Mus musculus: one gene and its partner. The protein of the gene in region 1 purifies or fractionates together with the protein of each later gene. This does not show direct contact. Links are inferred from orthologs where the notes say so. Each region holds a gene or a part of one and is shown in the gene's direction. Other genes may lie near its edges. The genes, in order: Hnrnpf and U2af2.

Evidence for each region.
Region 2: the proteins of Hnrnpf (region 1) and U2af2 fractionate together in Homo sapiens (co-fractionation; 3 studies listed by BioGRID, with this or other methods). This does not show direct contact. The link is inferred for Mus musculus from reciprocal best matches to the Homo sapiens genes HNRNPF and U2AF2.

What each region holds. Positions count from the first base shown.
Region 1 is NC_000072.6:117,901,168-117,916,574, forward strand, and holds the start of Hnrnpf (heterogeneous nuclear ribonucleoprotein F), read left to right. Parts: upstream 1-5,614; 5' UTR 5,615-5,672; exon of another isoform or gene 5,673-5,942; coding exon of another isoform or gene 5,943-6,674; exon of another isoform or gene 6,675-6,751; intron 6,752-6,936; coding exon of another isoform or gene 6,937-7,038; intron 7,039-9,633; exon of another isoform or gene 9,634-15,407. Other genes in the region: uncharacterized protein 4933440N22Rik, read right to left, coding at 5,943-6,674, 6,937-7,038.
Region 2 is NC_000073.6:5,063,267-5,077,968, forward strand, and holds part of U2af2 (splicing factor U2AF 65 kDa subunit), read left to right. Parts: intron 1-2,795; exon of another isoform or gene 2,796-2,915; intron 2,916-3,136; coding exon 3,137-3,272; intron 3,273-3,943; coding exon 3,944-3,988; intron 3,989-4,277; coding exon 4,278-4,381; intron 4,382-4,765; coding exon 4,766-4,917; intron 4,918-5,466; exon of another isoform or gene 5,467-5,526; intron 5,527-6,177; coding exon 6,178-6,294; intron 6,295-7,095; coding exon 7,096-7,234; intron 7,235-11,314; coding exon 11,315-11,394; intron 11,395-11,468; coding exon 11,469-11,591; intron 11,592-11,874; coding exon 11,875-11,961; coding exon of another isoform or gene 11,962-11,973; intron 11,974-12,201; coding exon 12,202-12,450; intron 12,451-14,702. UniProt on the Homo sapiens protein: Plays a role in pre-mRNA splicing and 3'-end processing. By recruiting PRPF19 and the PRP19C/Prp19 complex/NTC/Nineteen complex to the RNA polymerase II C-terminal domain (CTD), and thereby pre-mRNA, may couple transcription to splicing.

The sequences.
Region 1 (15,407 bases):
GCTCATGGGTTCAGCTAGACTGTCTGGCCAGAAAGCCCATTTCTTCCTGCCTCCTCCTGTCTCCAAAGCCCAGTATCTGGGATATGGAAATTCACTGGCCACCCTTTTTAAGTGCCTGTTGGGGATCCAAGCTGAGGTCCTCATGCTTGAGCAACAAACACTATGTACTGAGCCATCTCCCTAGGTTTCTCTGGCTTGCTTATCTTTTTGGTGGTGGTGGTGTCATGGCCTAGTTGAATCTTTTACCATCCCAATCTTCTTTTTTCCTTCCTAAAAAAAAAAAAAAAAAAATGAGCCAGAATCTCAAGATATAATATAGCTCTGGCATACCTGGTATTTAGTAGGTAGACCAGGCTGGCCTCAAACTAACAGATATCTACCTATATCTACCTGCTTTTGCCTCCAGAGTTCTGGCATTAAAGGGATATGGTGCCAAACTTAGCTAATTTGATTCTTTGAAATAGAGTCTATGTAGTCCTGGCTGGTCTGGAATTAACTGTATAGACCAGGGCTGGTGAGATGGCTTAAATAAATCTTAAAAAAAAAAAAAATCGCGGGGTGTGGTGGCGCACGCCTTTGATCCCAGCACTTGGGAGGCAGAGGCAGAGGCAGAGGCAGGTGGATTTCTGAGTTCGAGGCCAGCCTGGTCTACAAAGTGAGTTCCAGGTCAGCTAGGGCTATACAGAGAAACTCTGTCACGGAAAAAAAAAAAAAATCCTGTCTTTCAGGTTTGGTAGTGTACTAAAAGCAGAGGCAGGTGGATCTCTGTGAATTTCAGCCAGCCTGGTCTGCAAATCGAGTTCCAGGACACCCAGAGCTACACAGGGAAATCCTGTCTCAAAATCAAAAACAAACAAACAAATGAAAACAAAAGAGAGAAAAAGATCCTGTCTAAAAATAATGTATGGCAATATAAGTTATACAACTGTAGTCCCTCTCAAATATTTCTATCTTGCTGCTGTTATCAAATAGCTTTAAGAAGCGACTTAGGGAGGGTTGGTTTTGGCTCAGTTTCAGGCTACAGTCTATCGTTCTGGGCCTGAGCACATGTTGAGAATGGCTGTGAGCTCTGGGGGCAGGAACAGAAGGCAGGGTGCACTAAGTGGATGCATTAAGTCTGTAACCCAGAGTCAGAGAGAGAGAGATGGTTGCTGGCACTCACTTGCTTTCTCTTCTGTGCCTTTTAAAAGTTAAAAAGGATTTCTTTTATGTGTATGACTGTTCTGCCTGCATGTCTGTGTAACCCCTCCCCACCCCACCCCCACCCCGCCGCTATTTATTAAACCTTGTCCCGTTGCCATTCATAGTGGGTCTTCCTCGTCTGCTAAACTGAGGAGCAGATCATGCCTCGGGTGGTTATGTACAGTGGGCATAGGCATAACCAAGTCAGGAACCAAGCCCTCAGACCCACTGGAAACTAGCAAAGCCTTTCTCATGTTGGGCAGGCTGGGAATTGGGAACACCTTCCCTTAGTCTGAGTGGGAATGTTGGCAGTGTATGCAAAAACTAGCCATGGTAGTTCTCTCCTCCTGGGTCGGGTGCCTATTACCTGGAACTGCGCCTACTGAGACCTTCTCCTGAGACTAGCTAGCCCCAACCCCTGGGCTTAGATAACCTCCAGGATGTTGCGGGGCAGTGGGGAGAGGCTGCAGTAGTAGGTGTGGCTCCATAAATAAGCACAACTCCCCTGTCCCCAGCTTTTCTGTGTGTACATGAGTCTGTCCTTCTATGGTGTCTACCCTTTTTGTTCCATTGATCACCCCGTCAGGTATAGGTGCCAAGACTCTCAGGACATGGTAAGGAAAGATTCTTAAACATGCTTGGCAGTTGAAAATGAAAATTAGCCCTGTGTGTGCATGCACATCATATACACATATACTGTCTTTACTTTTTTATTATTTGTGTATGTGTGGTGGTAGTGGAGGCCAGAGCAGGGAGTTGGAGTTGGATCACCTAACCAACCTTCTACCCTATCAGCTGGCATCGCAGGCAGTTGTGAGCCAACAGACCTGGGTGCTAGAAGTCAAACTCTGGTACTCTTGAAGAACAGCAGGTATTTGGGGTGGGGGGGGTTGGTTCGAGACAGGGTTTCTCTGTGTAGCCCTGGCTGTCCTGGAACTCACTCTGTAGACCAGGCTGGCCTTGAACTCAGACATTCCCCTGCCTCTGCCTCCCAAGTGCTGGGATTAAAGGCGTGCACCACCACACCTGGCCTTTTTATTTATTTTTTATTTTTTATTTTTTGAACAGCAGGTATTCTTAGCCGCAGAGAAATCTCTCCAGTCCTTTGTTTTTGTTTTTGTTTTTTTGTTTTTGTTTTTTTGACTGGGTTTCTCTTTGTAACCCAGGTTGGCCTGACACTCCCTATATAGACCAACACTAACTAGCCTTGAACTTGCAGCAATCCTTTTTGTCCCGAGTATTGGGGATTACAAGTGTGAATCACCACATCTAGCTTAACATATCTGACTGTACTGTACTAATAGGAAGTTAGAATGTACAGCATTCTAATATGCTGAACAAAGGGATGGTTGAGGGCCAGAGTGGGAAGGAGGATGACTTGAGATGTCACTGCTACTCAGAAAAAGGCACAAGACAAAACGAGTTATCTCTAGAATTTCCCATTTCGGGACCAGGGCTTGTTGGACCAGAGTAACTGCGACGACATATAACACAATCAGGTATTCAGGGAAGGAGACTAATGTCCTTGGTTATATGGTGTGAGCACAGCACCCTGGTGCAGGGCTACTTGGATAATTCACGAGGTCCAGGGGAAGCCAGGCATGGTAGCACACATGTACAATCCCAGCACTCAGAAGGCAGGAAGATGTCTAGGCCAAGGCCTGCCTGGGTACACAGTCAAGATGCTATTTCAAAAAAAAGAGGCTGAAGGAGCAAGGGGAGCGCTGGGCACACATTTCCACTGCTGTTCCAGGGGTGGGGTGAGGGGATGGGGGTTAAGCAGGGTATAGCTTGAAGATTAGCCATCTGAGTAAATCCTGGAGGCTTTGTGGCTCTCTAGTTGTCTGGTCCTCAGCTCTCATCCAAGTCGGGATAGTATAGGAGCCCTGATCAGGGAGCTGGCTGGGGCTTCATGGAATTCATCAGTGGCAACAAGAGGAGCAGACTGGCATCTAGCTAGGGCATAAAAACTGGGTCAAGGCGACATGCAGCCATGCTCAAACTATGAAATCTATAACAGGGAGCAGTATTCTGGAGAAATTTATGTAAACAGAGAACAATTTTGTTAGCTTTCTGATCCTGAAATTTTATTACCTATTGTGATGTGTCTATCGTGTGTGTGTGTGTGTGTGTGTGTGTGTGTGTGTGTGTGTACAGGAAGCTAACTTTGGGGGGTTGGTTTTCTCCTTCCACCTTTTGGAGGCAGGGTCCCTCGTTTTTGGCATGATGCATGGTCCAGGCCACTGACCTTCCAGGCCAATCTTCTTCACTTCCCATCTTGACTCAGCATATAAATGTGAATTACCACGTCTGGCTTTTTTAAAATGTGGATTCTGGGGATGAAACGCCACCAGTCACCAGAGTTGTGTGGTGAATGCCTTTACCCCCTGAACTATATGAATAACCTGGACCTAAAACTGTGACCTCCCTTGCCCTCATTTACCCTGCTATGTTCAAACTTTGCTTTTTATTTTACATTCATTTATTTGTTATGCTTTTTTTATTTTTATTTTTTAGTTTTTCGAGACAGGGTTTCTCTGTAGCCCCGGCTGTCCTGGAACTCACTCTGTAGACCAGGCTGGCCTCGAACTCAGAAATCTGCCTGCCTCTGCCTCTCCAGTGCTAGGATGAAAGGTCACTTCAGTTCTTTATTTTTGAGACTGTAAAAGAGCTTTGTAGCACTGTCTGGCCTGGAACGATCACTGTAGACTAGACTGGCCTAGAATTTACAAAGATCTGCCTGCTTCTGCCTCAGGAGTGCTGCGATTAAAGTATTGTGCCACTCTATCTGCTGAATCTGAAAACTTTAAATTTAAAGTGTCAATTTAAATGTAAGGGAACAGGACAGATTGTAACTCTTTTCCTTGACAATTCCTCTCTGCATTTTATTTTTCTAAAATAATAATAATAATAGTAATAATAATAATACCAGTTGTGGCTGGGCACACCTTTAATCTCTCACTTTATGCCTCAGGAGGCAGGGGCCGGTGGATCTCTGAATTGGAGCCATAGTGAGTTCCAGGACAGCCAGCTTTACAACAGAGATACCATGTCTTAGGGTGGGGGTGTGGGGAACCAAAAGAAACAATACAAAACAAAACAAGAGTTGGAAGCCAGCCTGGGTTGCAGTCAGACAGAGGGAGCTCAAAAGTGAAACCTCTGGCTGTAAAAATCTGGGAACTTCAATTTGACCCCTGGAACTCACCTAAGGGAAATGAAAATACTTGTGAAAAGTTGCTCTCTGGCTTCTTCAAGGTTAGAAGTCACTTGCACCTTTCTCTGGCAATAGTAAGGAACTTTAAAAATAAATAAAACCACCCAAGGAGCAGGGTGAGAGGTCTCAGCAGAACTTGCTGCACAGGCCTTTCAACCTTGAGTTTGATCAGGACCCCACATGGTGGAAGGAGAGAACACTCAGGATTGTCCTCTGACTTCAGTTGAAAGTGTGGTGATAACTCGCACGAACTTAACAATTTTAATGCCCCACTCCCTGGGCAAACAAACAAACAAACATCAGAGGTGGGGGATGTAATTTGCCAACTACAAGGCTCTGGGTTTAGTGCTCACGAATACTTATCTAACTTTTGTAGCATCTGTTTTCTATCATTTGACTTCTATTTTTCTTCTTGGACAGGTTTTCCTCTCAAAGTTTTCTTTCCTTTTTCTGGAGTTAGTCTGGTGTGTTGTTTTATAAACGTTTCCTTCATCACTGTAGTTCACTTATAACCAGAGATTATTCTGAACGGCCTTGTAATTTCTCCAGTGTTTATATAGACAGCAGCTCGCGACCATGCATTGTAGCCTCGGCCGCCTCCATGCAGAAATGGAGTTCGTAGGAACCAGCTCGTGTTCCTACGCCCGCCTAGGCGGCTCTGGAAGCTTCAAAAATAATCTTCACTTTAGCTTGTATCTCGACATCTCGCAGAGAATCCTCCCAAATTATTACACATCAAGAAAATCTGTCCCAGCGTTCACATAGTGCTGAGAGTTAGAAACTTCAGACAAATCCCTCCGGACTGCCTGAGATGCCCTTAGGCGGTCTTTCTTTTACATAAGACACCATTCTAGTTTTCCGCACGCATGCGGTCATTGATTCCTTTGGGATCACTTTTCGGGATGCGGAGACACGCGTGCAGAATTCAGCGTCCACCGACTCACCAGCCCACAGGTCTCTTTATGGACAACCCCCTCCACCTTGCTGTCTCCCCCCCCCCCCTCGTTTGCCCGCCCCCTCCCCCTGCTACCCCCCCCCCGCAATGTTTGCGCCTGCGCCGTCACTGTCCTCTCCGGGACTCAGAGGCGGGTCCACAGCTCTCTAGTCCCGCCCCTCTCCCTCCCCCGGCCAATCCTAGGCTCCGTTCTGGGCTCGTCAGAATGGCGCCGCGGCTGCCCTGTGCCCGGATGTCCGCTGCCTGAGGCTCCGCCCCATCACCGTCTTGCATCCTTCCGGCTCCGTCGTGGAAGGAGGACTGCGCCTCGTCTTCCTGAAGGTGGGGTTCGGGGAAGGCCAGCCCGCGGTCACGCCGGCTGTGGGAAGGGAAAGTGGGCTCCCCGGGCTACTGTTTCCGGGTGCTCGGGGCGTGGGCCGAGCGGGGAGCGGACCGGGGATCAGGAGGGCTTCCGGAGGCGCCGCTGGCGCTCGGCAGGCGGGAGTTGAGGAGCAGGCCGGCCGCGCGGTTGACTCGCCCCGCTGAGGCCGTCCCGCGAGCGCGCCTGTGGGGGTTTCCATGGTGACAGTAAACAAGCCTCAACTGCCTCAGCTACAACTGCCAAGTCCCCGGGGTTCCACCCTCCTCTAGGTGCTCTGAGGGCCGGCGAGGTCCGGATGTGAGTGGGAGCGTGGAGCCGAGAAGCCGGAGGTGAGGGCCGCCGGCGGGGTGTGCTGGCGCCTGGGCCCGGCGGGCGTTGGATGGCGGGCGTGGGATCCGGACTCGGAAGGAACGGGGCCGAGGTGGCCGCCGCACAGCCATAGCCGTGCGGAGGCTGCCCACGGAGCTGGGGACCGCGTGGCCGGGGTTTGGGGTCGGGAGCCGAAGTTCAGCGCATTTTCGACGGGGATTGGGCCGCGTGGCCGAGGTGTGCGGTCGGGGGAGCGGGGACTGAGGGCTGGAGTCCGGTCGGTAGGGCCGGGCCTCTGGGCTGAGGTGTGCGGAGGGCCTGGGAGACCGCAGCCGCGGCCCACGCCCGCCCGGAGAAAGCGCGGCTTTCCTCAGAGCCGCCCCCCCACCCCGCCCGCAGGCGCGGCTTCCTCGGCGGGATATTGGGGGGGGGGGTGAGGGTGGAGCGCTTCTCACCCACCGCGGCTTACGCTCTGTCAGCGGCCCCCCGGCAGGCCCGGGCGGTGGTTGTAGTTTGGAGAAAGACGAGCGGGCGCTCACGTGGCCCGAGGCGCCCGGAGTTTCACAAGACTGGGCGGGACGGCTCCGCCCACCGCCCACGCCCGGCCCGAGCGAAGCCGAGCGCCTCGCTTCCTCCTCGTGGCGGCCCGGGAGCTAGGAGCACCGGTCTGCGCCGGTCCCGTCCCCCAGAGGTATCGTGTTAGCGTGTGGGGTGCGGAGTCTTTGCCTAGGTGGGTTAGTCGGCCTTAGCCGCAGTTACGAGCACTTTTGTGCTGTGTTTGTGGAGCCTCACGTGTCTGGGAAAAGTTGAGGTGGGCCCGCTCGGCCTTCCCTCGGCGCGTGCTCTCCGGAGCCTTCCCGACCCGGCGGGATCGGAGAGGCAGCCCCATGTGCCCTAAGACTCCCACCCAGCGACCTTTTCTGCCCCTGCCAGTCCGGGAACAAACAAATGGGCCTCTTTCCTACCTGCAAGTCGGGCTGCGGAGTAAGCGGGCGAGCGAGCGCGGGTGGCCGCCATGTGGCTGTGCGGGATCGGTCTCCTGAACCTGGGCAGTTTTGTTTACGGAACTTTTGGGCTTATTTTAGTCGGTTTCCTTTAATGTTTATTTGTGCGTGGAGGTGAGGGGATAAGGTGAAGAAATGGATTTTTCCAGCACTGGGTCCTTGGGATTGAATTGAGGGTCCCTGTCACAATGATCTATCGCTCTGTCCAGGGGGTGGTTTAAATATTTAATTCTTCTAGTTGAACAAGACAGACGATATCTGGAAATAGTTAATACTTAAGTCTTTCTTCCCTTCGTGCTGCGGAGTGGAGGTCAAAACGTGGTTCAGTTCTTCCATCTGTGTATTCAGACTGAGCGCAGGTAGCTAAGGTCTGGCAAAAAGTGCGTTAGCCCATTGAACAATGTCGAAGTACTTTTGAGTACGCCGGGTGGCTATGCATGCTTTTGCGCTCAGCGCTCGGAGGTAGATCTCAGTTGAGAACAGTCTTACAGACCAAATCCTGACTTAAATTTTGAACTTTCTGCTTTTCTTATCTCCCTCGTGTTGCCATTAGTCTTACCAGCCTTTTTTTTTTTTTTTAAGTTACAAATCATTATGTAGCCACAGAGGATGACCTTGAATTCCAGATCACTCAGCTCCACCTCTAGATTGGAGTACTAACTCGACCACACCCCATTAGTAGTTACTGGGCATGGCAGGCTTTAGGCACGCTTTGTCAGCCCCATTCTGTCTGTATTATGCCCGTTTTTGTAGTAATTTTTAAAAAAGATTCATGGTTTGATTTGAAGGAAGGCCTGGGCACACTGGATCTAAAAGTAAATGCAAAAGTGATTACTTGTTTCTTGAGGTAGGGTCTAACTATTATATTACGCCTTGGCGCAAAATTACTGTATATTTAGATAAGGCTGGCTTCAAACTCAAGCAACACACCTACTTTTGCTTCCATAGTGCTGTGAATTGCTGGCATTAAAGGCATGTATCACGAAGCACAGCTAATACAAGGGGGTGTGTGTGTGTGTAACAGCTTTCTTTTGTTTTTCGAGACACGGTTTCTCTGTATAGCCCTGGCTGTGGCTGTCCTGGAACTCACTTTCTAGATCAGGCTGGCCTGGAAGTCAGAAATCCGCCCACCTCTGCCTCCCAATTGCTGGGATTAAAGGTGTACACTACCACGCCTGGCTGTATTTTGTACTTTTGAGATGTTTGGTTTTGTTTGGGGGGGGGGTTATTTTGTTCTTTTTGGATTTTCAAGACAGGGTTCTCTTTGTAGCCCTGGCTGTCCTGGAACTCTGAAATGTTTGTTTTATATGTGATTATATTTAAGACTTTAGTAAATGCCGAAATAAAACTACTGACCATTTGCTTACCAAAAAAATTTCAGTTCTCTGTGTAACCCACAAGTGAATGGTTGTGGGCAGATGATACCAGTAACATGGAGAGGTCAGAGAACAGCTTTTGGCCCACTTTGCTACTGTGTCTTCTGGGATAAAACTGGGGTCACCAGGATTTCAGCAGGTGCCTATCATCCCTTTCTCTTAAAAATTTTATTTATTTTGCTTTTGAGACAGGGTCTCTATGTTGTAGCTCTGGCTGACCTGTGGCTAGTTCTTTAGATCCGGCTGGCTTTAAACTCAGAACCTTCTGCTATTTCTTGAGTGCTGGGACTAAAGGGTGTATACCACTACTCCTAGGGTCTAAATTTTTTCCCCTCTGATGTTCTGAAACGGGGTTTGTCTGTGTAGCCTTGGCTGTCTTAGAACTCACTCTGTAGACCAGGTTGTCCCTGAATTTAGAGATTGGGCTGCCCCTGACTCCCAAGTGATGGGATTAAAGGTGAATACAACAATTTAGCTCCTTCTCAATTTCAAAAAGTGGAGTATGCTTGCTTTAGTCTTCCTTCCACTGCTAAGATTGAGTGCAGGAGTGCCACATGTAAAGTCACTGTGTCCATGTACCCAGAGAGATGCCTGTGTAGCCCAGGTTTGAACTCCTGCTGGTCAGGTGCTGGGATTCCAATGTAAGATTACCATTACAGTCTGGGTGTTCTGATTATCAGATTATTTCTATTTGAGTTAGTGGAGGCCTATAGACTTAATGTCTAGTTTGTTTGTTTGTTTGTTTGTTTGTTTTAAATTCTGTTTTTGGAGACAGGGTTTCTCTGTAGCTCTGGCTGTCCTGGAACTCACTCTGTAGACCAGGCTGGCCTCGAACTCAGAAATCCGCCTGCCTCTGCCTCCCACGTGCTGGGATTAAAGGCATGCGCCACCATTGCCCGACTAGTTCTTAATATGCCATCAACTTCACATTTCATTTGTTAGCATATTGTTTGCAAGGTCCTATCTTGAGTGAGGGGCCAACATAGCGTTTCTTACAAAACATTTAGATCTTGCTTTGTTTCCATTAATATATATGTAATGGTTAATTTTTTTTCTTTTCTTTTTCTTTTCTTTTCTTTTCTTTTCTTTTCTTTTCTTTTCTTTTCTTTCCTTTCCTTTCCTTTCCTTTCCTTTCCTTTCCTTTTTCTTTCCTTTCCTTTTCTTTTCTTTTCTTTTCTTTTTTTTTAAGACGTGGCTTTACCATGTAGCCCTGGCTTGCTAGAACATCAGATTCTCATCTGTGGTTGCCTCCTGAGTTGGTAGGTTTAGAGTAATGGTTAAAATTTTGAGATATTATTGCTCCCACTTAGTCAAGGTGTTAACTGCTTTGTATGTTGATGATTTGAAGCAGAAGCAAAAGGATAGGTGCAAGTTCTGGGCTAGCCATCCTCTGCAGTAAGACCTTGTTTTTTATTGCCAGGAATGGTGGTGGTACAGAGGCAGGACCTTTAATTTCCCACTAGGAAGGCTGAGGCAGTCAAATAGATCCCTGAATTTGTTGAAGCCTCCCTGTCCTGCAAAACCAAGTTCCAGGACAGCCAGGGCTACACAGAGAAACCAATCCTATCTTGAAAAACAAGACCCCTACCCATCACCCCCTTTTAAAAGTATATTTCCAGAAATCTCATTTTCAAGTTTTTTCTAGGAAGACCATTGTTCTTGGTATTTACTCAAATTTAAGTCAAAATTGAGTGGCGATAGAGGAGTAGCTTGCATGTAACCTCAACATACAGGACACCATAGTAAATCCAGAATCCAGAGTACTTTGATAGAATAAAAAAATTCAGGTACTGGAAATGGAAAGATAGCATAGCCCCTGAAGAACATTTGTTTCTCTTATCCAGAACCTGGGTTTGATTTTTTTTTTTCTTCTTTTTCCAATGTCCAAATGATATTTTCTAACTCCTCTTTTGAAGGAGATTGGCTGAGCTCTGCAGGCATTAAGTAGCATTTGCAGTGCATATACATATCTACAGGTAAAATATTCAGACTTTATGAAATAATAGGGGGCTGGAGAGATGGCATAGGTTAAGAATAACCTGGTTCAATTCCTAGCACCCATATGGTGACTAACAACCATATGTAGGAATGTATTGGTAGGAGTCACGCATGTGTACTTGAATACAAAGTATGGGTGCATACAAGATACATGTGAAATTATAAAATCTTAAAAATAAAAAGGAAATGTTTAAATATTAAGAAGTTTTGATTCCATAGTACGGCATCTTTAAGTGCTGTTTTGTAATTTCTCCTTAAAATATTAATGGTGGTGTTAGGCATTTGTTCCCTGAAACTGCCTACATTCAAAGTATGGTAATTGTCCCTGCTAGAGCCACTCTTACACTCAAGTTTCTTAGCTCCATTCTCCTCTTACATCTGTAATTCTCCATCCTAGAAGCAGTGTATTGTGGCTTTTAGAGTTTACAGTAGCCCCCCCCCCCTTTTTTTTTTAAATAAAGCTCCTGTAGAAAGTTACAGGAGACCTGGTAAAGTGTTCTGTGGTCTCCTGAGGAATCACCCATCCTTTTCTGATATGGTATGGAGGTCTGTTCAGAGACCCCTGAACCTATTTAGTTCTAGCCCGTGACTGACTATTATGGAAAAGAGTTAGAGGGCAACGGGGCTCATGATCTGTGTTTGTCCTACCGTTTTAGTTGTAGTTTCTTTATAGCAGTTTACACAACACATGCATTTCTCCGCTGCTATGGGGGGGAGAGGTACCAGCCAATCTAAATAGAATTTTCAAGTCAATTGACAGAAGGTCTACTGACAATACTTTAATCATAAACATAAGTGAGCTTCATAGTTTGACTACATTTGTCTTATTTTCCATTGTTACTATAGATTTCTTAGTTCTTAAGACATATATGAAGGTAGCAAGCAATAGACCAGTTGGTGGTGTGTGTGTATTTGGGATGGAGGCTGGAGGATAAGGACTTCTTACAAGGTATTAGCTACATAACCAATTTGAGGGATAGCTTATGAGACATGATCTCAGAAGAAATTCAGTTTGTAGTTTCAGTGTAATGAATGTGTTCTACTTTTTCGTAATTTGTCCATTTGGTTACATTCATTCATTCATTTCTTTATTTATTTTATTTCGAGACATGGTTTCTCTGTATAGCCCTGGCTGTTCTGGAACTCACTCTGTAGACCAGGCTGGCCTCGAACTCAGAGATCTGTCTGCCTCTGCCTCCCAAGTGCTGTGATTAAAGGCGTGCGCCACCACGCCCGGCATTTGGTTACTTTTAATGTAAGCCTAAAAGATATGGATCTATGTCAGTATTAAGAATTTTTTTTTATAGTAGCGTAGGCTTTGTGAAATGAACATAAAGGGAAATAGATATAGTAAGTTAATTTAAAAAGTCTTCGTAGTTAGAAGATGGAAAACAGTGTCTTCGTTTTTTTTTGTAGCCCGTGACTTACCTTTGGTAAATACAAACAGTGCTGGAGTAACACTTAATTGTTTGTTAGCTTCTTGGCCTTTATTTACTATATTTTAGAGTAGTGTGTTGGACTTGAAATGTAGTACCCATTGGGTCAGACTTCTTAGTTTAGACCCATTTCTGAGAAACTAAGTGCAGTATGTATATATTGGTACATGTCTTAATTTCTAGGTGAGATCATGACAGGAAGAAATGATTGACTTCCTGAATTGAACTAAGTATAGCTAGTATAGGACTGAGTTTTCTCAGTGATTTGAGTGCTTGCCTAACATGCACAAGACCTTGGCTATGATCCCACTCCATTCCCAAGCACCAGAAAATACAGCTAAAAAGATGGATCTGCTATGGTTGCATACCTGTAGTCCCTCCCATCATTTGGGAGGCGGAGACAGCCAGGACACAACTTACAGGCAAGCCTAGACTCTTCAAGGTCTAGTCTCAACAAAAAGGTACCTGTAAAGTTTGAGGTGAACCTGGCTACATATTATCCCTTTTTCCTAACCCCTTTTAAAATCTGTCTGCCTTCCTAGTGCTGGGATTAAAAAACAGCATGCCTCCATACCATCTTTTCAAAAAAGATTTAACCCGGTTTCAGCCCAGGCTGACTTGACTGTGTCCCTCACCTTTGTGGTGGTGGATGACCTGGATCTCCTGATCCCAGTACTTTGGAAGTGTTAGATTTACAGGTGTGAGCTAGTGCCTGCATTTTGTAAGTATGCAGTATTTTTAGTGAGACACATATATGTGTACAATTTATGCAAATAACTGTGATGTGTGTGTGTGTGTGTGCACGCGCGCACACACATCCCCCCCCCCCAAATCTTGTAGCTCAGGCTGGTTTTGAACCTATTGTATGTAGTCTAGGCTGGCCTTGACATCTCCTGAGTTAGCCTTGTGAAATGATATGATCTGTACCACTAGGGAGGTAGTGGTAGAGAATCAAGAGTTTTAAGGCTAGCCTGTGCTACAAAACCAAACAAAACATTGATTTTAGAATACAAAGTACCATATTAAGACTTCATAGGTGCGCTCACCTCTGAAGCTGACTTAAACTCACTTTTCTGTCAGTGTATATCTTTTTTCTCTCTTACGGTAAGAAACTGAACACTAGTGATACATGCTAAGTCACAAACCAGTTAATTGAAGAAGGTATTACATTCAACTACCTAAGTGCCACACATATTTAGGTAAGTAATACAATACACCAAGATTTTTTTCCTAAGACCTAAGTAGTAGTACTCTTGGTAGAAACAACCTAGATTTCTCTTTCTCAGCCATGGGGTCCTCACAGAGGGCCTTAAACATGTAAAAATTATGTCTGTGCTGTCCTACAAGGCTCAAATTTTCATTTAGTACTGTTTCACTTCATAATATGAATTATTTATCTACTTTTGATGACGGGATTTAGAATCTTAAGATTAGGTGATTTTTTATTAGGTGTGGTCTCCTGTAACCCCTGTCTGGCCTGGAATTCAGTATTCCAGGGGATGATCTTAAACTGCTTATTGAGAACAGATAGCATCTTGCTTTGTAGCTTTGGCTATGTTGACCAGGCTGGGCACTGCCTCTTGATTGTTGGCCACCCCTCAACCCTTATTCATTTTTTCCCTCTATGTGAGGATAGCTTTGTAAAAGTCAGTTCTCTTCACCATGTTTGCTTCAAGAAGTGGTCAGGCTTTGCCACAGTCACCTTTACCACTAGGTGTGAGTTTCTGAGCTTTCTGTCTTCAAGTGCTTTGGCACATACAAACACTTGAACTCCTCAGTCACCATACTAGGTTTATTTGGTGGTAGGGATAGAACCTAGGGTTTGAGTTAGGCCTACTTGAACTAACATACTCAAATTTGAGTTTTTATAAGCAAGACTTTGGGGATTGGTAGCATTTTTATAATGGACTATTTCAAACAAAGGAAAAAAATGAAATGAACTGCCATTTAGCTCCAACAGATTTTCAGTGATGGACATTTTCCTATACACTGCAGATAGATAATTTCTAGATAAATCTTAAGTCTTACTACCTCACAACTGTTTCTAGGATTTGTCTGTTGAAAACCAACTTCTTTTTTTTTTTTTTAAGATTAATTTATTTATTATATGTAAGTACACTGTAGCTGTCTTCAGACAATCCAGAAGAGGGAGTCAGATCTTTTTATGGATGGTTGTGAACCACCATGTGGTTGCTGGGATTTGAACTCCAAACCTTCGGAAGAGCAGTCGGGTGCTCTTACCCACTGAGCCATTTCACCAGCCCCACCAACTTCTTATTAATACCTTCCTGTAACAATATATGAAATGAACCCACAGAAGCCAGAATTAGCTGCCTGACCTGTGTACAGGAGCCAAATTCTACCTAGCTTTCTGGAAAAACAGGAAGGTGTGCATATGGTTTTCTTTGAATCCCTCTTTCATTCTTTTAAAATTCTTTTTTCCTCAGCTCCCCAAATGTTGAGATAATAGGTATCTGCAGTGCTACCATTCAGCTCCAATTCCTTTATTTTGGAACATCCACAGATTGTACAAATAGAAATTTGTGGTCAGTGTTCATTTGTGTCAAGAGCATAGGAGGAAGTAGCTGAGCTGGTCTGGAGTCTATGTACAGCATTCCATTCAAGAGGCTGGAGCAGGAAGATTGCAAAAGCTTTTTGGAAAAAGCAAAATTGGGAGTTCAATTTTAGCTTAAAAGTTCCATATTGAGTTGGAGCTCAGTATATGGAGCTCAATCACCTCTACATAGTCTCAAAAAATAATCAAACATGGGCCATACATTTCAGGTTTTGCTTCATTTTGTTTTCTTTTTCAAGTCTCTTGATGGTTAAGTCCTACCTTGACTTTACTGGAAAGATTAGGTCATTTCTCATTTTATCTTGTCTCTTTAGTTCTAAACATTTCTACACAACTTTACCATGAAAGGTTATTTAAGATTATTTTTTTTAAGCCTAAGCATTTGCAGCTATCACCAGCTTTAGTTTCAGGTTTCTCTCCTCCAGTTTTTGCAGAAAATAAACTTTAGTAACATTTTAAAGTAGTTATGTATAAGAGTGCTTGCAGTGTTTTCACTACAAGTGTGCTTAGGTCAGAGGACAACTTTAGCCCCTTCTCCTGTGGGTCTTTTGGGGGTTGGTACCCTCAGGTGTCAAGCTGGGTGCCTACCCAGCTAATGCCTTTCTTTCTGCATCTTTCTGGGTCCTTAAAACATAGGCCTTTGAAATAATCTAATCAGTTCTCAATCTAATTGCTTTGAATTAAAATACATTTTGTGATTGCCTCTTGGGTACAGACTTTATAAGGTTCATTTTTATACATGTGGGCCAATTACATTCAAAAGTCAAGCCCCCCTTCCACTATGTGGTCACTGGGGAACCAAACTTAGGTTGTCAGCTTCTAGAAGTCAAGGGCTTTGGGGGAACTCAAGAGGAAGCCTAGGCAGGCCTCTGCCCCCGGAATGCTGGAATTAAAGGTGTGCACCACCACACCCGATATTAATATATGTAAAAAAATGAGACAAGGCCGGAATTAACTCGTACACACTATATACACTGGTATCGGCTTTAGATCCTCC
Region 2 (14,702 bases), on another chromosome or scaffold:
ATCAGAAAGGCAAGCAGGCTATGTTGGTGCTGGCGGATTTAGGGATACCGAGGAAAACGTTGATTTACAAGACATTCTCTACAACCTCTTCTTTTTTGAGACCGAAGAGTTTAAATTTCTTGAGGGTTGAGACTTAAGCTGTCTTGTGTTGGGGCACTGGATGAGACCTTGAGAATTATTTGAAATGAAGCTGGAATTGAGGAGAGAGTAGCTAAAACAGTACACGTGGAAAAGTAATTATTCTGAGTGTCCTTGGTGAGCTTTTCTGCTTTGAGTAGTGTATTGCTTTAGAGTATAGGGCTTAGGGATTGAACATACCTGAGTTCAAATACCTTCATTACTCTTTATCTGACAGTCTAATCTGTTACCTGTATGCTGATCATCGATGCTTTGTTTACTGGGTTTTTGAAATTAGTGGTACATACTGACTATAGTTGTAATTAAACTCCTTCCTTGTCAAGGCAAGGAAATTTGTTAAACTCTTAAAATCTGCTTTTTTCTGAGAAGGTTTCAGGTTTCTGTGTAGCCCGAGCTGTCCTTGAACTCACAGAGATCCTCTTGCCTCTGCCTTCTGCTTGAGGTGTGAGCCACCACCACCAGGCTCTAAACAGTTCTAAGTGAATTACTTGTAACAGTCTTCTGAGGACAAAATAGTTTTCTGTTTATTGAGCAGGAAACTGAGGCTCATTTAGTTTTTATTTTTATTTTCTCTTAAGAGAAAATGCTCCAAGCATTAGTTGGAAAGCTGGAGCTGAGTTGAAATGGAGCAGTGTGTATATATAGCATGTGGCTTGGGTTATGCTAGGTGCCTAACTAGCTATAATTGGTATTGTGAAGATAGGTGGATTTTGGCTCAAATAGACTGGTGTTGTTATAGAAGGGTGGGTAAAGTGGATGGCAAATTTTACTCCCTCATGAGACCTGGGTAGTGTAGATTTGACTTTCATTCAAGGAAGGGGAAAATGGATGTTAAAGCTAAGTTCCTGCTTTTGTGTAGATCTCTGACTGCAAAGCCAGTTCCTTGTAGTTCTCGAGTGTCCCTGCTGATGTTGGCAACAGGGCCTGAGACCTGGCCTAGAAGGGCCAGTTGTTGGAGTTGTGTACATAAGACAACTACATTATAGCGTTTTGAGCAAGTGAAGTTTCCTTTTCTTAACTGTCCAGCATCATTATGTGGGAGAAGGTTCTTGTCTTGCTGGAAGAAAGCTTGACCACTTTGTCACCTTGCTTGCCTATGGGTATTTGTCTCTGACCCAGCCTCACTCTATCTCAACTTTAGCCCCCTTCTCAGTTCCTTAAGTCTACTGGGAGTTTGTGTCCTAGGCCCTTGGTATTGTCACTTCATCTCTGGGGTTCTTTGTTTTTGAGACTTAGCAGCAGGGAAGACATTTGGGATTTGTAAGTGGCCCCTCTTCGTGGTGTGGAGCCAGAGCTGCCTGGTTCTGTGCTTGTCTCAATATTCCACAGTTCTTGCCTCTGTCTAGCTCTTGATTGTTTTATTTTATTCTTTGCATGTATGCATGCAAATTCTTTTCTGTTAGTAGTTGAACCCAGACTCTGTACTGAATGTTTTTTGCTTGGTATTCATTCCAGAATACAGCCTGGTACCTAACTTACTTGCATTACAATTTCAGTCTGGGCTTCACTGCTTTTTTTTCTTTCCCCGAGACAGGGTTTCTCTATGTAGCCCTGGCTGTCCTGGAACTCACTTTGTAGACCAGGCTGGCCTCGAACTCAGAAATCGGCCTGCCTCTGCCTCCCAAGTGCGCCACCACGCTGGGCTTTTTTTTTTTTTTTTTGCTTTTTTAGTATTAGTAAAGGAGTTAAAGATTTCAAATTTTCCTACTTACTGCAACAGAAAAATACATAATATAAATGTGAGGTGAGTTTAAAATCTACTTTGAAAATTTTCTCATTGATTTTTTTTTTTTTTTTTTTTTTCCTACTGCCAATCTTAGAAGTCAATACTTTTGGGATACACCTGTTTCGGTTCTTGAGTATGTTTGTTTTTGAGATAGGATCTTAATTTAACTCACTAGCCAACTCTTTTTCTTTTCCTGTGTCAGCCTGCCACATGCCTCATCACTCCTGGTTGTGTTGCTCTGTATGGGTGCGTGGGTTGATGGTTGAGAGATCGGTGGTACTTTGGAATTAAGAAAATGTATTAAGGCGATCCTGGTTTAGCGTCTACCTGAAGTGGGTAGTCTGCAGAATAGGAGTTATATTGTGTTTTGGTTTAAGTTGGAACCCAACTAATGTACCTCTAGCTGGTATGGAACTTGCTATGTAGACCAGGTTGGCCTTGAACTCTCAGATCCACCTGCCTGCCTTTGCCCTCTGAGGCTTTGTAGTTTTTCTTGCAAGGCTGTGCTCTGTTATTAGTAGCCATGGCCTCTAAGGCAAAGAAGCAAAGGAAACAGTAGATAATGGTGAAGACACAGGTTCTTATTCTAGCCCACCCTGCTTTTGGCTTTGAGGGAGTGAGGTAGCCAGGGGCTGGTGGATGCGGCTTTCTGGACCATGAGTTGAAATGTTTGGGAGGTATCTTTTCCTTCCTTTCTGTACATTTAGAAAGAAGCCCCTCCCTTTCAGAGGGTGTTTACTCTTGCATTATTCACCTGGCTGGGAAGGGATGGAATTGAGTTTCCTCACTTCTTAAGGTTACTAGGTCTGCCTGGCACCTGACCCTGGGGTCTGATGGTGGGGCTTGTGGGTACCAGCTGGTTGCAGAGGTTTTTCCTGAGGGTTTGGTGGGTTTCTTCAGGAAAACATCATTGGGTCTCTTGATTCCCCAGCCTCTAGCCCTGCCCCTCTCAGGGACGACCCTGAGGTCAGGCCCCTCAGCCCTCGAGGGGGAACAGGAGCCAGCTTCCTCTGTCTTCTCTGGCTCCTCAGCTCCTCTTGAGCATCTTCAGGTATCTTACACCCCGGGGGCATTTCCAGGCCCTGACCCTTTGGTTCCTCAGAGTCCTTGTAGACTCGTGTGTGGACCCAGGAGGCCTGTTGTCTCCTTTTATTAAAATCCCTTCCCTTGGGGGGGAGGCCTCCCTGGGTCTTGGTATAGCCACCAGCACGCAGGGTGGGCTGGGCCTGCACTTTCTCTTCACTCATTCCATCTCTTCTCACACTTGTCCAGAGCGGGACAAGGAGAATCGGCACAGGAAGCGTAGTCACAGTCGCTCTCGAAGCCGAGATCGAAAGCGCAGGAGCAGGAGCCGAGATCGGCGCAACCGGGACCAGCGCAGTGCCTCTCGGGATAGGAGACGACGAAGGTACTAGAGCTCTGGAACCTCTGGCTGGATGACTGGTCTCTGTGTTGGTACTGCTTGGTCTATCTTGAACTCCGTTTTCTCTGTTTATGGGATTTCTTTCAGTTTCTCTGGCAGTGCTAAAGGACTGCTGGGGGCAGTAGTTCCTGGGGACAGAGACTTTTTTTTTCCCTTTTCCTCTCTCTAAGGGCAAGGCTGTCCCTGTCTTTAAGGGCCCAGTTAATGTTTTGTTCTCTCATTCTGTTTGGGGCTGTTTTGAAGCCCTGTTTCTTCTTCTTCCGATGTGTTCTGGGAGTAGGGCAGGCTGTACCTGAAGCCTGAGCCTTAATTTTCCAGCTCAGGGCTATTGGTTTAGTTATTTAGAGTTATCTTCCTTTCCTGGGTTCCCTCATTCTTTCTGTTCCTTCTAGGTAAGGAGGTGTGGGATATATGAAGAGCCTCCTTCCTTATCTCAGTTTCTCCATAGAGTGGCATAGTCTCTTCCTGCTTATTACTTCCTCTTTCCTGGGAATGGTAGGGTTGGGGGGCTTGGCAGGGCTGAGGGGGCCAGCATGTTCCTCGGTCCTGCCTTGGTCTTGGGGTTCAGTGACCTTGGGCATGGTGTGTTGTGTGGGGAAGACAAAGGTCCCCAGTCACTCCTCCCCATACCTTTCCCTTTCCCTCCCACCCCTCAGCAAACCTTTGACCAGAGGCGCTAAAGAGGAGCACGGTGGATTGATGTGAGCTTCTCTTCCTGCCCCTTCTGCCCCATGTCCACTCCCTTATCTCCTTCCTCACCTGTGCAATTTGCCTGCCTTGCATCCCCACCCTGGCCCTAGCACTGGGGAAGAGGCTCATCTGCCAGTGTCCCTCCTCAGGCCCAGGCCCAGCTCTCCCTCCTGGAGAGAGTGGAGCTTATGTGTGGGAGGGTGTGGTGGGCTGGGAGGTGTTCCCTTATGGGACTTGGAGGCCCAGTGTTGGTCAGACTGAGGTTGCCCTGCCCCACTTTCCCCCTCCCCCCTTCCCCAGTCGTTCTCCCCGCCATGAGAAGAAGAAGAAGGTGCGTAAATACTGGGACGTGCCACCGCCTGGCTTTGAGCACATCACCCCAATGCAGTACAAGGCCATGCAAGGTAGGCCTCTCCCTCCCATAGACTGTTGTAGGGGTTAAAATATTGTGTGTGTGTGTGTGTGTGTGTGTGTGTGTGTGTGTGTTAGGAGTTAAAGTTCTGTGTGAGAACATGTTTGGTGAATCTGAAGGATCATACTCAAAGGCTTCTGGTACCTACCATGGGAAGCGCTGCTGCAGGAGGGAATGTCTTCCACAGTGGGCCGCTTAGGAAATCAGACTTCTTAGTAGTGGGTATTGGATGGGGCCCCACTGCTGAGTTGACTTGGGTGATTGAAGAGCTTCCTGAAATCATCGTCTGGAGGGTGGCTGGGTAGGGTCAGTGTACACTGAGTGGTCCTGGTTTTAGGGTTGCTGATGGTTTTTACTCTCTATACCTCTCTTGAAGCTGCGGGTCAGATTCCAGCCACTGCCCTTCTCCCGACCATGACTCCTGATGGTCTGGCTGTGACCCCAACGCCAGTGCCTGTGGTTGGGAGCCAGATGACCAGACAGGCCAGACGTCTCTACGTGGGCAACATCCCTTTTGGCATTACTGAGGTACTGCCCTCCTCCTACCCCTGCCCTCTCCCCTGTTTCCCCACCCTGTGCCTCCCCACCCTCCATTCCCTTTCCCCAACCTGCACGCGTCAGACTCTGTTCCTGCAAGACCCCCCGGCCCCCTCCCAGACGGACGGATGGAGTTGAGCCAGCCAGGGGCCGGGCTGGGGGTGGCCCCTCCCTCCCTCCTCTTCCCCTCTCCCGTCTCCCTTTCCCCAACCTCCTCCAGCAACCCAGGGATCAAACACACACATAACGTACCCACCTACATATTGTACCTACGTGTTGGAGAGAGACAGAGAGGGAGACTCAACACACGTACAAACAGACGCACGCCCCTACAGTTTTCTGACATGCTCTCCTTTTCTGCCGTCTATCCACATCCTTTTCCCCACATCCCTCCCATGGTCGCTGTTCTTTTGTTTTTGGTAGTCCTGACCTCCCCCACCTTCCCCACCGCTCCTCTCCCCCATCCCTCTCCCCCACCCCTTCCCGTGGCACCCCCTGAGAATCCCGAGATCAAAGAGTTGTTTCCATTTCTCTTTAAAGTGAAATATTGTGGGGCTGAGATCCCTCGTAGCAACAAAAAGTTTGCTACCATCGTTGAAGGCAAGTAAGGTCCATTCTGACTTTCTCAACCTGCACTTTGCTACATTTGATAAACCAGCCCCCGGACTCCAGGGCCAGATCCCTCCACATCACTCTTTTCTCCTCCCCTCCCGCCCTACCCCTTCTTCCCCTGCTCCTCCACCCCTCCCCGCCCCTGCACTCTACTTGTTCTGCCTCTCTGGGCACCCTTCCTGTCCCTTTGCTTGTCTTTCTCTTCCTGCCTGTTGCTCTCCTACCCTTTCCTGCCTTGTTTGCAATGGGCATTTCTTCCTTGTGTCATCATGTTTTTTGTTTTTGTTTTTTTTTCCTCTTGCTGTCACATCCTTTCATCTTTTCTTGAATAACTTTTCCTAACTTTTTGGGCTCCATGGCTCATCCCTCATGCCTGTCCTCCTGTCTGGCCCATTTGCTCCCTGTCTCCTGTCCTTTGGTATTGCTTCTTCTCTGTTTTCTCATTTTCCTCCTGCATTTTTTCCTACTATTGACCTCTACACCCCTGACCCATATTCCACTGTCCCTTTCCCTCCCCGTTCTCCCTTCCCCCATTCCTCTCCCCTTACCCCCAAACCCCTCTGTGTCTCCCTCTCTCACCCTTCCCCTCCTCTCTCCACCTCCCTCCCCGCCCTTCCCTGTCTCCTATTCCCTCTGCAGGAGGCTATGATGGACTTCTTCAACGCCCAGATGCGCTTGGGAGGGTTGACTCAGGCCCCTGGCAACCCAGTCTTGGCTGTGCAGATAAATCAAGACAAGAATTTTGCCTTTTTGGAGGTGAGTTTTCCAGTGATAAGGGTAAGGGGTAGTAGGGATGGTCTGTGCTGCCTACTCTGACTGCTTTCCCTGCAGCTCATTTTCCATTTGGCTGCTGGAGTAGTTCTGTAGTCCTGTCCTACCTTATGCCTTCCTATGCTCTACCTCACTGGGAGGACTTTGTGGCTTCTTCCTGCTTTGTTGGTTTTTGAGACTATTCTGGCCCAGTCCACTCTGCTTAGGCTACATTGATCTTGCAGAGGGCTCGATGTTTCTCCCTATTTGGGGCCTAGGTTGAGGCAGTTTACTCTCGGTGTTTATACGTTACGTTTGGGCAGTTCGTTAGTTTGGAACTGTCTGTAAAGACCTAGCTCGACTCTGGGGTCATACTCCTAAAAACCGTGGGGTGTTGGCATGACCAAGGCTGCGGAAGAGGTTTTTCAGTGTTCCCTTTTCAGACTGCATTGCCCATAAGAGTCCACTTTGATTTGTACTCTTGGAGACTAATGTCACTTCATCAGAAAGCCTGGGCTGTCATTGCCACGTAACTTAGTTGACCTAACTTTTCTATGCTGGCTTCTCAGCAGTTGGTCCCTTTCCAACATTGTCAGAGTTTATGATAGTGTGCTTGCTATCTGCTGGGTGCGAGGATATTGCTTTCTAGAGTGTGAGCTTCTAGAAGCTATCTGGTAGTGCTTGTTCCCATTGTTCATTATGGGTTTGGTACTATGTTTGTTTATATAAGTGGGAGGAAAGTTAAGAGTCTTGGGGGCTGGTCTAGTCCCAACCTACCCCTTAGCTCTGTTGTTTCTCTTCCTTCAGTTCCGGTCAGTGGATGAGACGACCCAGGCCATGGCATTTGATGGCATCATCTTCCAGGGCCAGTCATTGAAGATTCGAAGGCCTCATGACTATCAGCCATTGCCTGGCATGTCAGAGAACCCCTCTGTTTATGTGCCTGGTGAGTGGGAATTCGTTGGGTGGGTGGTATGGGGAGTCACTGTTTCCTCAACCCAGGTTCCTGTACTTAGTCCAGCTAGAGTTGCTTTGGAGATAGTGTGTGTGCGCTGTGGATGTTCTTCTAGCTTGGCAGGTGTCCTGGGCCTTTGAGGTGGTGATCTGTGATCTTCAATCTTAAAGTTTAGCTTAGCTTGTAAATGTCAGAGCCAGGTCCAGATCAGAGGTGTCCTGGAAAGTGTGGGACTTGCAGTCTGGGCATTGTTTTTACCTTGTCCCCTTAGCCCTGGGATTTTAGGGCTTGATGTGTTGTGTATGCTATGTATTTGTAAGTACATATCAACAGATCTTTGCATGGTTCTGGTGTGTGGCCCTAGCATGTTAGTGTTCACTGATTCCATGTCTTTGGCATGTGTTCTGTACTGTTTCCTATAATTGTATATAGTATAACCTCTGATTGGTAGGTCACGATAGATCTTTACTGTTTAAGCTACAGACGGGGTCATTAGAAATTTGGATTTTTTGTGATCCCCCCCCCCCCCCCCCAATTCTGCACTAATCTTTCAGTGTTTAGCTGTAGTTTGCTGGCCTTTCCTTTGGCAGGTCAGGCGGGATGAGCTGGGATTTGCAGGCTGTATGACCCCTGCTGAGCTTCAGGAAACACTGGTGCTGGGGTCCAGCTGAGTCAGTGAGGCCCAGGTCTGAGGCTGATTGCAGTGAATGTGGGGTCCTCCGAGTAGATGCTCAGCATCAGAGGGTGCCCACTGGAACCAGGTCAAGTCACCCCTTCTCTATAGAGGAAGGAGCACATTTCTGGTAGTGTAGGACTTGGGGTTAGGGCCTGACTACCGAATGCTTTCTTACTGCAAGTTCTGGTCACATACCTGAGTCTAAAGCTAGCATGCTCTTGAAAGTATTGCTTGGAGAAGATTCACAGTGGTACTGGGGCTTGAACTCCAGTCCTTGTGCTTGTCAGGAAAGCACTTACTGTCTAACCTGAATCCCAAGCCCCTTTTTAAGTTCTCATTTTGAGGTAGGGTCTCACTAAGTTTGCCTAGACAGGCCTGGAACTTGGGGGCCTCCTTCCCCCAGCTGCATGGGTAGTTGGGATTATAGCCCTGTGCCACTAGGTCCTGCTTGCTTACTGACTTTCAGGTGAAGCTGTAGAACATCTTTTTTTTGTATCTCTTGGCACTAAATTCATTGTTTGGATTGCTCTTTAATTCCATGAATAGACAGCCACCTGCTGGTTTTACTGACACAGTGTGGCATGCCAGGTATTGCCTGTTCCTGAATCTTCTTTTAGCCTTCACTCAGCTAATTATGACTTGGAAGTCAGTTGTGACCCACTGCTTGGTTTTTTGTTGTTGTTGTTTGTTTTTCAAGACAGGGTTTCTCTGTGTAGCCCTTGCTGTCCTGGAACTCGATCTGTAGACCAGGCTGACCTCGAGCTCAGAAATGTCTCCCGAGTGCTGGGATTAAAGGTGTGCGCCACCACGCCTGGCCCACTGCTTGTTTTTACAAATAAATTTTGGCACAGTGTCATTCCTTTTATATTACTTTTATTACTGGTCTCATTGTGGTATTAGGAATTGAACTTAGAGCCTTGCATATGCTAAGCAGGTGGTTCGCCACATGGGGATACTCTCAGCCTTTTTACTAGTAGTTTGAGGCAGGCTTTCTCTGTGTTTCCCAGGGAGGCCTTGAACTTTGGATCTTCCTGCAGAGTTGGATTATAAGCTTGTACCAGCAGGCCTAGCTGTAGTTTTTTGACACATGGTATAACTGTATCTTAGACTGGCCTCTTAACTTGATTTTCTGCCCCCAGTATTGAGATCACAAGCATGTGCCACATCACATGTCGTGGATGGAATTGTCACTTTACAGAGGAGGAAAGCCAGGAGTGGTGAATAATAATAATTGTTCGTGATCACGAAATTCATAGGTTTTCTGGGCTGCACAGGTTGGCCTAGGAGTCCTAGCTCAGCTTTTCTCTGTACTCTTTCATGTTAAACTTTCTACTGAGAACATGTAGATAACAGGCATAGTTGCTTTGGGCCATGCTGTTAAGTGACGGGCCTCTTTCACAGGGAGTCTCTACATTGCTTCCATTAAACAATAGAAGGAAGATCAGTCCTGTGTTGTGTCTCTTTGGGATGTGCCTGTCTGAAGACCTGGCCCTCCAGGTCTGCCTGTGCTTCTGCACAAAATTACCACTTTGGAGGAGGCAGCAACAAGTGGAATTCTGTCTTGTTTTTTCAACTTCCACTTCCAGAGGAGAAAAACAAAGGTCACTAAATAAACTAGAGAGGAAAAGCATTTGATGAAATCCAATAAGTATTGATGATAGAGTTAAAAGATTTGTAAATTGGAAGGCTGATGTTCTTCCTGGGGAGAGAATGGACTGATAACTTACACTGACATCACCTGTAGTGGACGCTGCGCTTCATTTCTGTGGAAGTGAAGTTGTTGTTCTTAGTCACCAGTGTTAGCACCTTGTATCCCTGGATTAAGTGTAGCAGAATGCTTCTGTATGCGCCCTGTTTGTAGTGTGTTGGTCTCCCTTTTTCTCTAGCTGTAGACAGCAAAGAATTGAAGTTAGGACAACTGGCTTGGGTCCTACCTTGTTCTCCCTCTGAGAGAGAAGTGATAAGTCACAGTGATTACCAGATTGGGCTTGTGGTCCAGCTGCTGCCTTGCTGCTTACTTGTCAGAGACTGGTGCAGAGTCAAGCCTGCTGAGCTGCTTTAGAAAAGCTCTGTTGAAGTCACCCTTTTCCTACTCTTAGAACTTTACTTCTTTTGCTTTAAGCTAGGGCTTTTGTACCTAAGGTATGAGTCTTTTGCCTCCATATAAGTATATACTGTTTGGATGCCTGGTGTCTAAGGACATCAGACGAGAGTGACGAATTCCCTGGAACTGGAGTTAGGAGTGGTTATGAGTCCTCCTGTGGGTGCTGGGGAACTGAACCTGGGCCCCCTGGAAGAGCAGCAAGCACTGTTAACTGCTGAGCCAGCTCTTCAGCCCCAGATAGATTTTTAAAGTGGTTGTCCTCTGGCTTATGGCAGTACTGGATATGGCCTGGCTGTTAATGCTTCTGCTTGTCATAGTTGCACTGTAACTTAGGTCTGTTGCACAGTCTAGATAACTTGACTACTGGGGTGCACTTCTAATAGTTAGAAATAGCTGAATTGATGCTTGCAGTTCTTTGGGGCTAAAGAGTTATAGTGGGGCAGAGCCAGCCTAGAAGATGGGTGGGGCACAGTGACTCAGGTTCTGGGTGTGTCGAGTCATTATCTTGATGCTTTTGTACATTAGGATGGACCACTGCATTTAGCATGGGGGAGAGCTGAAAAGGGTAGCCATACAGAGTAGCCAGACTGATGCAGGGCTGAAAAGGGTAGCCATACAGAGTAGCCAGACTGATGCAGGGGCCTGATACTGACTCTAAGAATTAAATGCTAATATTGGTGAAGCTTGTGGGGTGTGCTAAGAAACATCTGGCCGTCACTTCTATGTGAGTTGAGTAGAGAAGTGGTGCAGACTCCCTCAGGTGATAGCACCATGTAGTTATATTAGAGCTTTAATGGATCCTGAACACAGCTTCGAAGAGTTGACCATTAGTCATCACTACAGTGGCAGTCAACACTGAGGCATGTTCTGAGACTCTGAGCAGCCTCTCAGCTCCTTGTCACATTACCTCAGAATGCAGGTCACCCCTGCAGGGGCTTATGGATACAGGGCAAAGGACTGAACAACCGAATGGGATGAGATGTTGGTGGGTGGTTGTCAGTTCTTCGGGAATGTTTCATGTTCAGTTGTTGGCTGGCCTATGCTTGTATACTTGTCAGAATAAGGGGATTTAGTGTGGCCTCCTCCCACCTTTACATGGTATCTTAAGTAGATAGGACCTGTGAATCCATGGTAGATTTTTTTTTTTTTTTTTTTGAGAGACTGATTCTTCTGCCTTAGCCTCCCCAAGTGCTGAAAAGACAAGTGTGTGTCACCAGTCACAGCTTTCTTCCTGGATGTTGGGAAATTACTTTGTATTGGAATTGAAGTCTTTATACATTTTTGTCTTTAGGAGTTGTATCCACTGTAGTCCCAGATTCTGCCCACAAGCTGTTCATCGGGGGTTTGCCCAATTACCTAAATGATGACCAGGTAAATCCTCTGCTCTTTTGCTAGCTACCTTTGTCAGCCTGACCAAACCCTGATGAATTTTTGGCCCTTTGTAGGTAAAAGAGCTGCTGACATCCTTTGGGCCTCTCAAGGCCTTCAACTTGGTTAAGGATAGTGCCACAGGGCTCTCCAAGGGCTATGCCTTCTGTGAGTACGTGGACATCAACGTCACAGATCAGGTGAGTCTGAGTAGCTGCTCATTCCATCTGCCCTTAACCCTACTCTTATTTCTAACCTTAGGTATCCTCTCCTCAGGCTGTGGGGTGGGGTGGGGTGGGGTGGGGCAGGGTGTTTAGTCTTAAGCAAAGCCTTGTGGGGACTCATTCCTTTTCCCTTGGTTTTGCCTCTTTCCAATCTTAAAAGCCCTTTGCCTTTCATTCTTTCCCCACCAATGCCTGGTCCTTTGGTTCCTGACCTGTTGCTTTTCCTGCACCCTTTCCACCCTTTGTCCTCTGACCATAGGCCATTGCGGGGCTGAATGGGATGCAGCTAGGGGACAAGAAGCTGCTTGTCCAGAGGGCGAGTGTGGGAGCCAAGAATGCCACGCTGGTGAGCCTCCCGGCACGTCATCTTCCATTGGCTAGAGGGACCCTGGGGGTGGGAAGGGTTGGATGGGTAGGTTTTCTTGAGTTCTGCCCCAGTTTTCATGGGAGGGGATTTGGGCACTGGGTTCATAAGTGCTTAAGTAGAGGAATGGTCCCACTAGTTGGGTGTAAGAGGCACAGGCTTGAATGGAGGGAGGCTAGTCTGAGCCATTTTGTGACAGATCTGTTCTCCCTGACCCCACAGAGCACCATCAATCAGACACCTGTGACCCTTCAAGTGCCCGGCCTGATGAGCTCTCAGGTGCAGATGGGCGGTCACCCAACTGAGGTCCTGTGCCTCATGAACATGGTGCTGCCTGAGGAGCTGCTGGACGATGAGGAGTATGAGGAGATTGTAGAGGACGTACGAGACGAGTGCAGCAAGTATGGGTTGGTCAAATCCATTGAAATTCCCCGCCCCGTGGACGGCGTCGAGGTGCCTGGCTGTGGAAAGGTCAGGGTGCCCTTTTATCTTTTGTGAACAAATCCCTTAGCACCCTGTCTCTCTCAGTACCTGACTAGTTCTGAACAAGGGTGACGCAGAGGACCCTGAGAGGATCAAGGTCTCCTGGGGTCTTGGGGCCTATAGTGGAGAAATTGATTTCTATATATTGATGCTATGTGTGTGTCTCTGTCTGTCTATCTATCTATATGGTGTGTGTGTGTGTGTGTGTGTGTATATGTGTATATATATATATATGTGTGTATATATATATATATATATATATATAAGTTCAAAACTTAGTTTTTCTCTTTCTTATGTGGGATCCTTTAGCAAGTAGCTTTTTGCCTTTTTTTTTTTTTTTTTTTTTTTGGTTTTTCGAGATAGGGTTTCTCTGTGTAGCCCTGGCTGTCCTGGAACTCATTGTGTAGTCCAGGCCGGTCTTGAACTCAGAAATCCGCCTGCCTCTGCCTCCCAAGTGCTGGGATTAAAGGAGTGCACCACCACACCCAGCTTAGCTTTGCCTTTTTTGTTGGTAAGATGTTACTACATATAGTTTTCTTACTATCTACGTGCCTTGAAGCTGCATCTGTGTTCTTCTTTCACTGGCTTCTGAACCTCTTTTTAGAGTGTGGTACAAAGGTGACAACCACACACAGCTAGGCATCACATGTTTGTAGTCTAGATTTCAGAGGCTCCTGAGTTACCACCTCTACACTATGGTAGGTTTAGATAAGCTTTGCATGTCCACCTTGGAAGGTGCTGCTGAGGGGTTGCTGGTGTTCTTATTCTGCCATTAGAAGATTTGGCTGTGAATAGAGCTCTTACCCACAAACAGCGGGGGACACTTTGCTAGGGTGCTGTGTTGGGCAGTAGCAGGAAAGGGTGGGTATCAGAGTTGCTACATGCCTTTATTTTTCTTTCTGGTACTAAAGATAGAATTCATGGCCTTATTGTAGCTAACTAAGCAAGTGCTTTATCCCTGAGCCACTTCCATAGACCCAAGTTCTGGTTTTAGATAGGTGCCTGTCCTAGGCAGATGGACAGAAGCAGAGACTTTAGGTAGGATTGCTGTGTGTGTGGTTGGGGTTAGGGTATATTCAATGTAGGGACTTGCTTTTGCCCCTGTAGAGCTAATTGCTACATTGCAGGAGTATGAATGAGATGAGGCCAGGATGTTCAGCCATTGGTTTTTAGGAACTCTTGTTATGGCTGAAAGGACCATGAGCAGGATTTGAGAGAAGAGGCCAATTTTGCAAGAGGATTATGGAGGTCCTTATGAACTTGAGGAAGAAGCCTAGGGTTTTCTTGTAGAGGAGTGGAGCTTCACAGATAGAAGGAAGCTGATGTAATGCTAGCTCTTTGATAATGTATGGAGAGTGCCGAGTCATGAGTCAGGTGATCCATGGGGTTGCCTGTATTAGTATAAGAGAAAGATGGTGGCCTGCTTTAAAGTATGTCTTGTGCTGGGAGATAAAACTGTTTAGTCAAGGTGATATTATCTAGTGAAAACATACAGGTTGTATGCCCCATAAAACTTGAAGTGGCGAAATTGCCCAGTGACATTCAGAATATCTCTGTGTCCATAGTGATGTGGTGACTATAATGGGCAATGAGAAATGGATGAGTTTGTGGAGATGGGAGTGACAGGTGAGGTGGAGCCATTTTTAGGCCTACTGCCTCTGAGGTTACTTAGATATCCTAATAGAGTCAGCTAGGAAGCAGTTAGCTGGGTAGATGGGAACTCCCAAGTGGGTGAGGATTGATAGAAACTCAGACATGGGGAGGCTGGGCAGGTTTCAAATGAATCTTGGGAATGCAGCAGAGGTCTGGTGCAGTAGTCAAAAGGAAGAAGACTATCTGACTAAAAAAGCCTCTTGACTGCTTCTTTGCCTGTATTTGATATGCCACTCTTTCTGATTCAGGCTGGCACCTTAATGGAAGCCTGCCTTAAATGGGGATTGAGTAAATAAATACAGGATCTCTGAATGCACAGACTGGCCTCTTGAGCGGCTAACTCTTTGTCGGGGGGAGAGAGTGTATTGATTTTCATTTGAGATGGGGTTTTACTATGGTGCCTCAGCTTGGCTAGCTTTGAACTAGTGTCACTTAGCTACCATATTAACCTTTGTTCTATTCTTAAACTTCTAAAAGTATATGAGATTGATGCTGATGCTTAGTGTATATTATCCAGCTTTAAGTTATCAATATTGGGGGGGGGGGTTGTTTCTGCTTTGAGATGGGGTTTTACTGCATAGTCCCTA